Linked DNA regions of Arabidopsis thaliana. The protein of the gene in region 1 purifies or fractionates together with the protein of each later gene. This does not show direct contact. Each region holds a gene or a part of one and is shown in the gene's direction. Other genes may lie near its edges.

Region 1 (3,334 bases):
TACTTGAATAGGAAAATAACTTTGAGTGAAGTAAGAGGAAATAGAGGAAGTAGAAGTGTTAATGTTAGTGAGTTTTTTTTGTTTGAAAGTGTTGCCTTTTAGGGATATAAACTGACTATGTTAAGGCTCTCAATTTATAGGAATGCCATTCTTCTATCGGTCGTCGCTGAAGGATATTGCATTTCGTGACACCGCTTGGTCATGGAATCTAATTCAGGGTTAGTCAAATGGAAGTTCCTGCTTAAGATGCATTGATTACATTGCTTATCATGAGTTAATAAAAGTTCTTTACAGGGAGTGGTATGATTCAATTGGATATAAGTAAGTCTAAAGGTTATTATCTTACTGTGGCTAACTTGAAGAGGAAGGACGTAGAGGTAATTATAATCAAGTTATGACTTTGGATTAAGTTTTGGTTTCTGTTGTGTTTCTGCACAGTCCACAGTACACTGTTTTACTTGACATAATGTTTGTTCAGGTGGAACTGGATATTGATGTGAAGGTTGTCTTGTATGATACTAAACAATCATCCTACAATTGTTCCTTCAGCAATGGCGAGTGCTCATTCAAAATGAATGAAAGGTCCCCTGTTGAAAATTATGCTGTCGTAACTTCACCAGCACTGGGTCAGGTATGTACTCGTAATACGAAACACTAACAATATTGTTACTGTTATTATTATTATGACTCTTAGCTGAATGAATGTTTGTCTCACTGCCTTAGGGAGTATCCATCGATGATGAATGGTATATCGAGTTGTCATATCAACCTAGATTGATTGCATATGGAAGCTTCACAGGTAAACTTTTCAATCTTTTCAAAGTCAACTTGATTATTGGATTTAAGCATTTGTTAGTTTCTCTGTAACAAGGAAGCAATTACATGTAGTATTATTGCGTATGCAGGTGTGTTGCTTTCCTTCATGCTGGTAGCTATACACTTCTGCAACAAGTTAAAGTGTTGTGGTGGAGAGGGATTTTTATCCGAAGATGATTCAGTGAGAACATGTCTACTTGCAGACAAAGGTGACAATGATTGTTGTAATGATGTCGAAGCAAGTAACAAAAGTCTCTGTGCCATTTGTTTTGATGCTCCAAGAGATTGTTGTTTCCTCCCGTGTGGCCATTGCGTCTCCTGTTACCAATGCGGAACAAAGTAAGTTTTTTATCAACTAAGTACAACTTCTGGATTGCATAATTGTAATGGTAATGTGTTTACCATATTGGGATTGATCTAAAATATTGAACGTTGTGATTTGACAATATTTGCAGGATAAAAAGAACCAAGGGGAGGTGTCCAATATGTCGAAAGAAAATAATGCATGTGAAGCGAATCTATACAGCTTAAGATGTATTATTATCTGTCCAATGTGATGTTGAATCGTTAGAGCATTAATAAAAATCATATAATTTGATATTGACAAGGCTCAGGTCTTTCTTTGCATTAATTCGTTTCATCTCTTAACCATCTTTGTGACAACACCATTGGTTAACTACCATAGGGTAGGCAATATAGTGAACCATTGTTTGTTGACTCACATCACAAAATGGTTCGAAACCCGAATCGATAATTAAGGATTTCATAAATTAATTGTTAATTTCTGAATAAATTCGGATTTTGTATATTTCCTCCGTTTCGTAATATAAGTAGTTTTGGACCAATTTTTTTGTTTCACAACATAAATTGTTTTTAACTTTCTATGTAAATAATATATTATTTTAATATTTTTTGATTATTTATATTATGTAATCTCTTTTATGATTAGCTAAACTTTTTAAAAATAAATATTTTTAATTTGCATATTTTTATTTAAAACAACGTATATTGTGAAATGAAAAGAGTATAAATTATTGATTAAATAATTAAGGACTGTAATTTATTTTATTAAATTTAATATTCTTTTCCAAATTCTCCACATATTTTATACCATAAAAAAAGAACAACACCCTTACACACATAACATATCCGAATCAGTGGTTCTTCGACATCACACGATGGTATAGGGAAATGAGCTTCCACGTCAACAAGATAATAATCTCTTCGGGACTATACATTTACAACAAAAAGAAACAAATCTTGTGGTCAAAGTTTCCATACGTAGCTTCTCTTCTCTACACTCACGTCCACCACAATCCTCGTGCTCCTTCCTCTAAACCCGTCCGATTCACGTACTTTTACTATCTTTTCTCAATCCAACAGCTCACAGTCCACAAACAAATTTCAAATCGCGTCCTATAAAATCCCCTCTCCTCTGCTCCACACTCTCTCAAAACCCTAGAAAAAATGGCAGGAACCGGAGTTGTGGCGGTGTACGGCGAAGGAGCCATGACGGAGACGAAACAGAAATCTCCCTTCTCCGTGAAAGTTGGTCTCGCTCAGATGCTTCGTGGCGGTGTAATCATGGATGTCGTCAACGCAGAGCAAGCTCGAATCGCTGAAGAAGCTGGCGCATGCGCCGTGATGGCTCTTGAACGTGTTCCCGCCGATATTCGAGCTCAAGGCGGTGTTGCACGTTTTTGTTAGTTGACATGGTCATACTTAATTAGGAGAAACCATTACATAATGTTTTTAGGCACTGTATTTTTTTTTTGTTAAAATAAACATTATGTAATTAATTGTGCAATAATACATTCAATAATTGTTAAGATAACACATATGAATAAACAATTTCACATAAGTATATTGAAATTGCTAAGTTCAATCAATATATTTTGTTTTAGAATACTAATTAAACACTAAAACTTAACAGTTGATTAATTTTAACTTACTATACTGTTAAACTTAACAGTTTAATTAACGTTAACCGAAGGATAAAATTGGAATTTCACGAAAGAATCTCTTCAAATAATATAATAAAAAAACAAAATCCTCACAGACACAAACAAAAGTCTGAAAAATAATGTTATTATTTTATATAATAAAGTTATAAAAATACCCTCAAGACTCTGGTCGTCATTACCGTTCAAACGACGGAGAGAAAAGAAGAAGACTAGCCGGAGAACCAAAATCGAACGATAACCGTTACACTAATAAACTTACCCTATCATCTTATCTTTCATGGATTCACTTCCTCACAAATTCTCAGGTGTTTTATTTTATCTTTACTTATCCTATAAATCTCTAGGGTTTCTTCTATCCAATTCATTTCTTACCTCATAATTTTTTTTTTGTTATCTCTTTCTCTAAGAATCACCGAAATGGGGTCAATTCGTGGTGACCTTCAGCCGCTCTTTGTCATGCCACCACCTCCCCTCGATGAAGATTGTGATGATATCTTCAATTCTGACGAATCTTCATGGGGGTTGTTGAGCTTGTCCTGCTTCGGTATCATTAT
Region 2 (4,663 bases), on another chromosome or scaffold:
AAATATGTTTAGCTGTTGAAAACATATAGAGGTTACCTTTTATTTTTCTCTAACTTATTCATCTCATCTAGTTTATCCAACTCTTTTTTATTATTCAGCTTATCTTTATTCAACTTATCAGTACTCATTTTATTCAGCTAGTTCAATTTGTTAATCACCATTGGAAACTTTTTAGGTGTTTATTTTTAGAAAATACTCTTCATTAAATCTCAAAAGTTCATAAAGTTTTTGGTGTAAACTACTAATTGGAGATTCGATCTAATGTTTTATAAAGTATTTTATATGGTTTAATAAGATTTTAGAAGGTATTTAAAAATGTTTTACAAGGTATTGTTTTACAAGGTATTTATAAGTTATTTTTATACTGTATTTATAAAATATTTATAAGTTTTTACACACATATAAAAGTAGTTTGTATACTTTAATAAAGTTACACACATATTTGAATAAACCTCATATTCTTAGGAGTACTTTTAATAAACAATTAGAAATATAATATTTTTGAAAAGTGGTATTCGAAAAGATGCTTTTGAAATTCTTCCTTTATTTAGCTTCCAATTCTAAACATTTGAACTAAACTATTTGATATTCAATTTTAAAAGCTTATATGGATTGTCACCTCCAAACATATGCTAGATATTTACTTGAGAATTTTTGATAAACATCTACTTACAAAATTTTAACTAAAATAATATATTGAGAAATTGGAAAATGAAAAAGTAAAATGGTCGAAGAAGAATATCTTTTATGATATGTTAGCCTCAACAACGGGTGATATTTAATAATTAGTTTAAAACTTTAGTCACTTTGTAGTTAATACTTCTGATTTAGGATTAAGGTCCGTTGCACCCACTACTTCTGACAAAACTAAGTGTGCGGACTTAGAAAATAGATTAAACATGGATGGTCTCCTATCTCTTTGTTGTCAACCCAAACCGGCAAACCCTGATATTCTCTTATTACTTTTCATCTATAACATATTGAGTACTAGTACTTGACCAAAACAAACATTTAACTATATAGTACATCTCTTTGGGCTTAAGGAAACCCTTTTGTAAATAAAGCCTAAGCCCAAATTGTAGAACTAGTTATAGTCAATAACACAAAATTGCTTCTAAAAATTTCCCAAATCTCAAGTCTTATTATGTTATTTTCAACAACGATATGCATGAGATCATGATACAATTTGAATCTGCAATAACAAAACTGATACAAATTGGTAAAAACATATTTTATTGTCGAAAATGTTTGAAACATTCAGATCCAAAAGAAAGGCAAGGCGAAATTGATACAACTACAAATCATTCAAATATTCTTATGTCAGAACAACAGTTCCTGGATAAATTTGCTCCCACTTGAAGAAAAGTGTAGTCATCGCTAGAGAAGATGAAGAGATTCGTGATGAAGTGGACTTGGAAAAAGAGTTGAACCATAAGAGTGGAAGACAACTTACAAAGAGTTTGGAGACATCATACCAGGAATCAGTTAGATCATTGGCATAGAACATCGAACAGCCTTCTCGAGTATTAATTTACAGAGATTTTATTGTATTATATAAAATATTCACAAAACTGTAGAAGTTTCAAGAAAATCTAAATCCGACGGTTGAAAAACTCCCTACGTAATCTCTGTTGAACAACAACGGTCCGATCAACATAGTAAAAACGAAAAGTAAATCCAACGGTTAAAAAAACGAAACAAAACAAAAGATCCGACGAGGAAGAGTAGAACCGTTTGCCCTCTCTCTCTCTATCTTCCTTATCTCTCTCCGCCACTCTCCTTCTCTTTCTCCGAACTCTTCGATGGCCGGTCTACTCAAAACGCCGTCTTTACATCTCACACCAACTCTTCTTCATGCTCCTTCTGTACCCTTTAAGCCCTTTTGCGTATCTTTCGCCGGAGGAAGAAACGTTAGCGTCTCACTCTCTCGCCGAGCTTCTCTCCGGTCTGTCTCTAGCGGCTATCCTCTCCGCTTACTAAACCTCGTACCCTTTGCTTCGGGAGAAGCTGAGACGACGGAGACGGAGGTGGAATCGAACGAACCCGAAGTTCAGGTTTTTCGATTTCGGCTCACTTCTGTTCAACTTTCTTGGGGGTTATTTCATTGTTAGTTCGGTGATTAGGGTTTCGAATTTGGGATATGGTAATTTAGAATTGCTTGTTGTTTGCTTAAATTTTTAAGCTTTATTGATTATATTACCCTCTGAAGGAACGTTCACATGAATTAGAGCAATGAATAGGATTGTATTCAGTCTATTCAGGAGTCAAATGGTGAATGCTAATGTTTCTTAGGATATACCAAATCCGATGAATGACAGATTTCATATTCTTGTGGTATGGTGTGTTCCCAAAATGAAGGAGTTTCACTAGTAGTTTAAGACCATGGTGTGTATGTACTATCCAAATCGAATTTTGATTTCGTGATTCTTGTATGGGGGCCACAGAATGTTCTGAAGCTTTTTTGGTGTTAATCTGATTGTTTAGGAGGTCATTAAAAAATTGTGTCGTTAGTGTGTGTTCTGTCTCAGCTTTTATCAGGAATAGATAGGAAACGTCTATGTAAACTGGATTGCTCTTTTTCTGATTTTTTGTTTCACTTCTGAAATCATGGAGCAGGAGACGGATGGTGCTGTTGATGTCGAGAATGAAAATGCCAGTGCTGAGGAGGGTGAAGCTGAGGAAGAAGAAGCAGCTGTTATCACAGCGTTGCTGAAATCCTATAAAGAAGCTTTAGCAGACAACAACGAGGGGAAGATTGCTGAGATAGAAGCATCTTTAAAGTCCATAGAAGATGAAAAATTTCTGCTTGCGGATAAAGTAGCGTCTTTATCCAATGAGTTATCGGTGGAGAGGGATCGGCTTATAAGAATCAGTGCAGATTTCGACAACTTCAGGAAGAGGACTGAGAGGGAAAGGCTAAACCTTGTTTCAAATGCTCAAGGAGAGGTTGTAGAGAATCTTTTGGCTGTTTTGGATAATTTCGAGAGAGCTAAATCCCAAATTAAGGTGGAGACTGAGGGAGAAGAGAAAGTCACTAATAGCTATCAGAGCATATACAAACAGTTTGTAGAAATTCTGGGATCACTTGGTGTTATCCATGTGGAGACAGTCGGCAAGCAGTTTGATCCAATGGTTAGTTACTATGATATCTTTTCTTCTTTCCGGAGATCGACAACTGTATTTTTGTTGCTCAGCTTGCTGGTGGTTTTAATTTTTAACTATGGACGTGATCTTTAAAATCAAAGTTGTTTTGGAAGTTAGGATAATTCGTTGCTATAGGGCTGCCGGAATAATCTTGAGCAGAACGTAGATATGGTTGTTACTTTGAAAGTTAGCTACATCAGATGGATGGAACAAATTATGCTGAATGATACTTTTGTGATGCAAATGATCAATAAATCTTTGAGGTTTAGGATCACTTATCTCAGTTAGATGCCTTTTGGTTATCGCAAAGCTTGAAATACATAACCACTTATGCGTCTAGTCCTAAGCATGAATCTGCTAAAGTTTTGGAGACTTTAGATGTAAGATGTGGTTGTTACTTTTGCAAGTTGGGTTTAAATGACAATGAGTTGGTAGATATCCTTTTGTTTGTTGGTCTTTTCAAGTCCCTAACAGCTGACATCTCTTTTTTATCCTTTTGCTTTTCTCGTTGTTGTGTGAAAAAAGCTACATGAGGCAATAATGAGAGAAGACTCTGCGGAATACGAAGAGGGTATAGTACTAGAAGAATACAGGAAAGGTTTCTTGCTAGGTGAAAGGCTTTTACGTCCTTCAATGGTGAAAGTATCAGCTGGACCTGGACCAGAAAAGCCCCTTGAAGCTGAAGGAGAAGAAGCCACAGCACAAGGAAGCGCAGAAGAAGAATCATCTTCATCTTGAAATTGAAGATGATCAAGACTCAGCAGTTTTGTGTGCGTGTGTGTGAGAGAGATACAGAGATAAAAGAGGGAGAGGTCTGTTTTACCATTATTGTTGTTATTGTTATTGATACGTTATATCATTTCTACAGAGTCTAGAAGTAATATAGATCGACATTTTTAATGAATTCTTAAGTATTCAATCCGAAAGGGAATGCCATAATTGATTTTTTTTCATCTCTCTATACACAGCTAGAAAATTCGGAAGATTCAGAGAAAATGTTGATAATTGGAAGTTTGGAACAAACAGAAAGTCAATACAGTAAATTGTATTTGAGTACTATGGCCTACGAGTCCAAATTATTGTCCAAGTTTTCTTCTTTTGGTTAGGGTTCTTTGGGTACTTAAATATCTTAAAGAGGAGTTGTCCATTTTGTGTAAAGAAATGTTAGGGCCATGTATGTTGGGTATCTTGGATTGGATTTTTTTTTCTTCTTTCTTTTGTTATTTTTTGGATATTTCTAGTAACGTTGGGATCCATGCATAATGCATTAAACCGGGTAATAGAATAAATAGTGTCATACAGTGAAAGTGTGAAACAATCAATAGTAAATTTTATCCTCAATGATGATAATATATCACATAATTTTTGGATCGGATACGAGGTGTAATCGGCCGGTCCATCTTTAGTCTCCTAGGACAATGCATGTCTTGTGTGAACGTACAAGTACAAATGTTGATTTGCGGTTCTGTTCCGGTTTTTGGTTATCAGATTTCAATTTTTGGAGAAACGTGTTAACCAG

The links.
Region 2: the proteins of PDX1L4 (region 1) and EMB1241 fractionate together in Arabidopsis thaliana (co-fractionation; one large-scale study listed by BioGRID). This does not show direct contact.

What each region holds. Positions count from the first base shown.
Region 1 is NC_003071.7:16,004,915-16,008,248, forward strand, and holds PDX1L4 (putative PDX1-like protein 4), read left to right. Parts: upstream 1-1,834; 5' UTR 1,835-2,283; coding exon 2,284-2,523; 3' UTR 2,524-2,808; downstream 2,809-3,334. Other genes in the region: APD4 (RING/U-box superfamily protein), read left to right, coding at 141-218, 295-377, 479-631, 724-799, 906-1,155, 1,272-1,347; APD3 (RING/U-box superfamily protein), read left to right, coding at 3,198-3,334.
Region 2 is NC_003076.8:5,838,779-5,843,441, reverse strand, and holds EMB1241 (Co-chaperone GrpE family protein), read left to right. Parts: upstream 1-1,583; 5' UTR 1,584-1,802; coding exon 1,803-2,054; intron 2,055-2,616; coding exon 2,617-3,132; intron 3,133-3,669; coding exon 3,670-3,882; 3' UTR 3,883-4,103; downstream 4,104-4,663.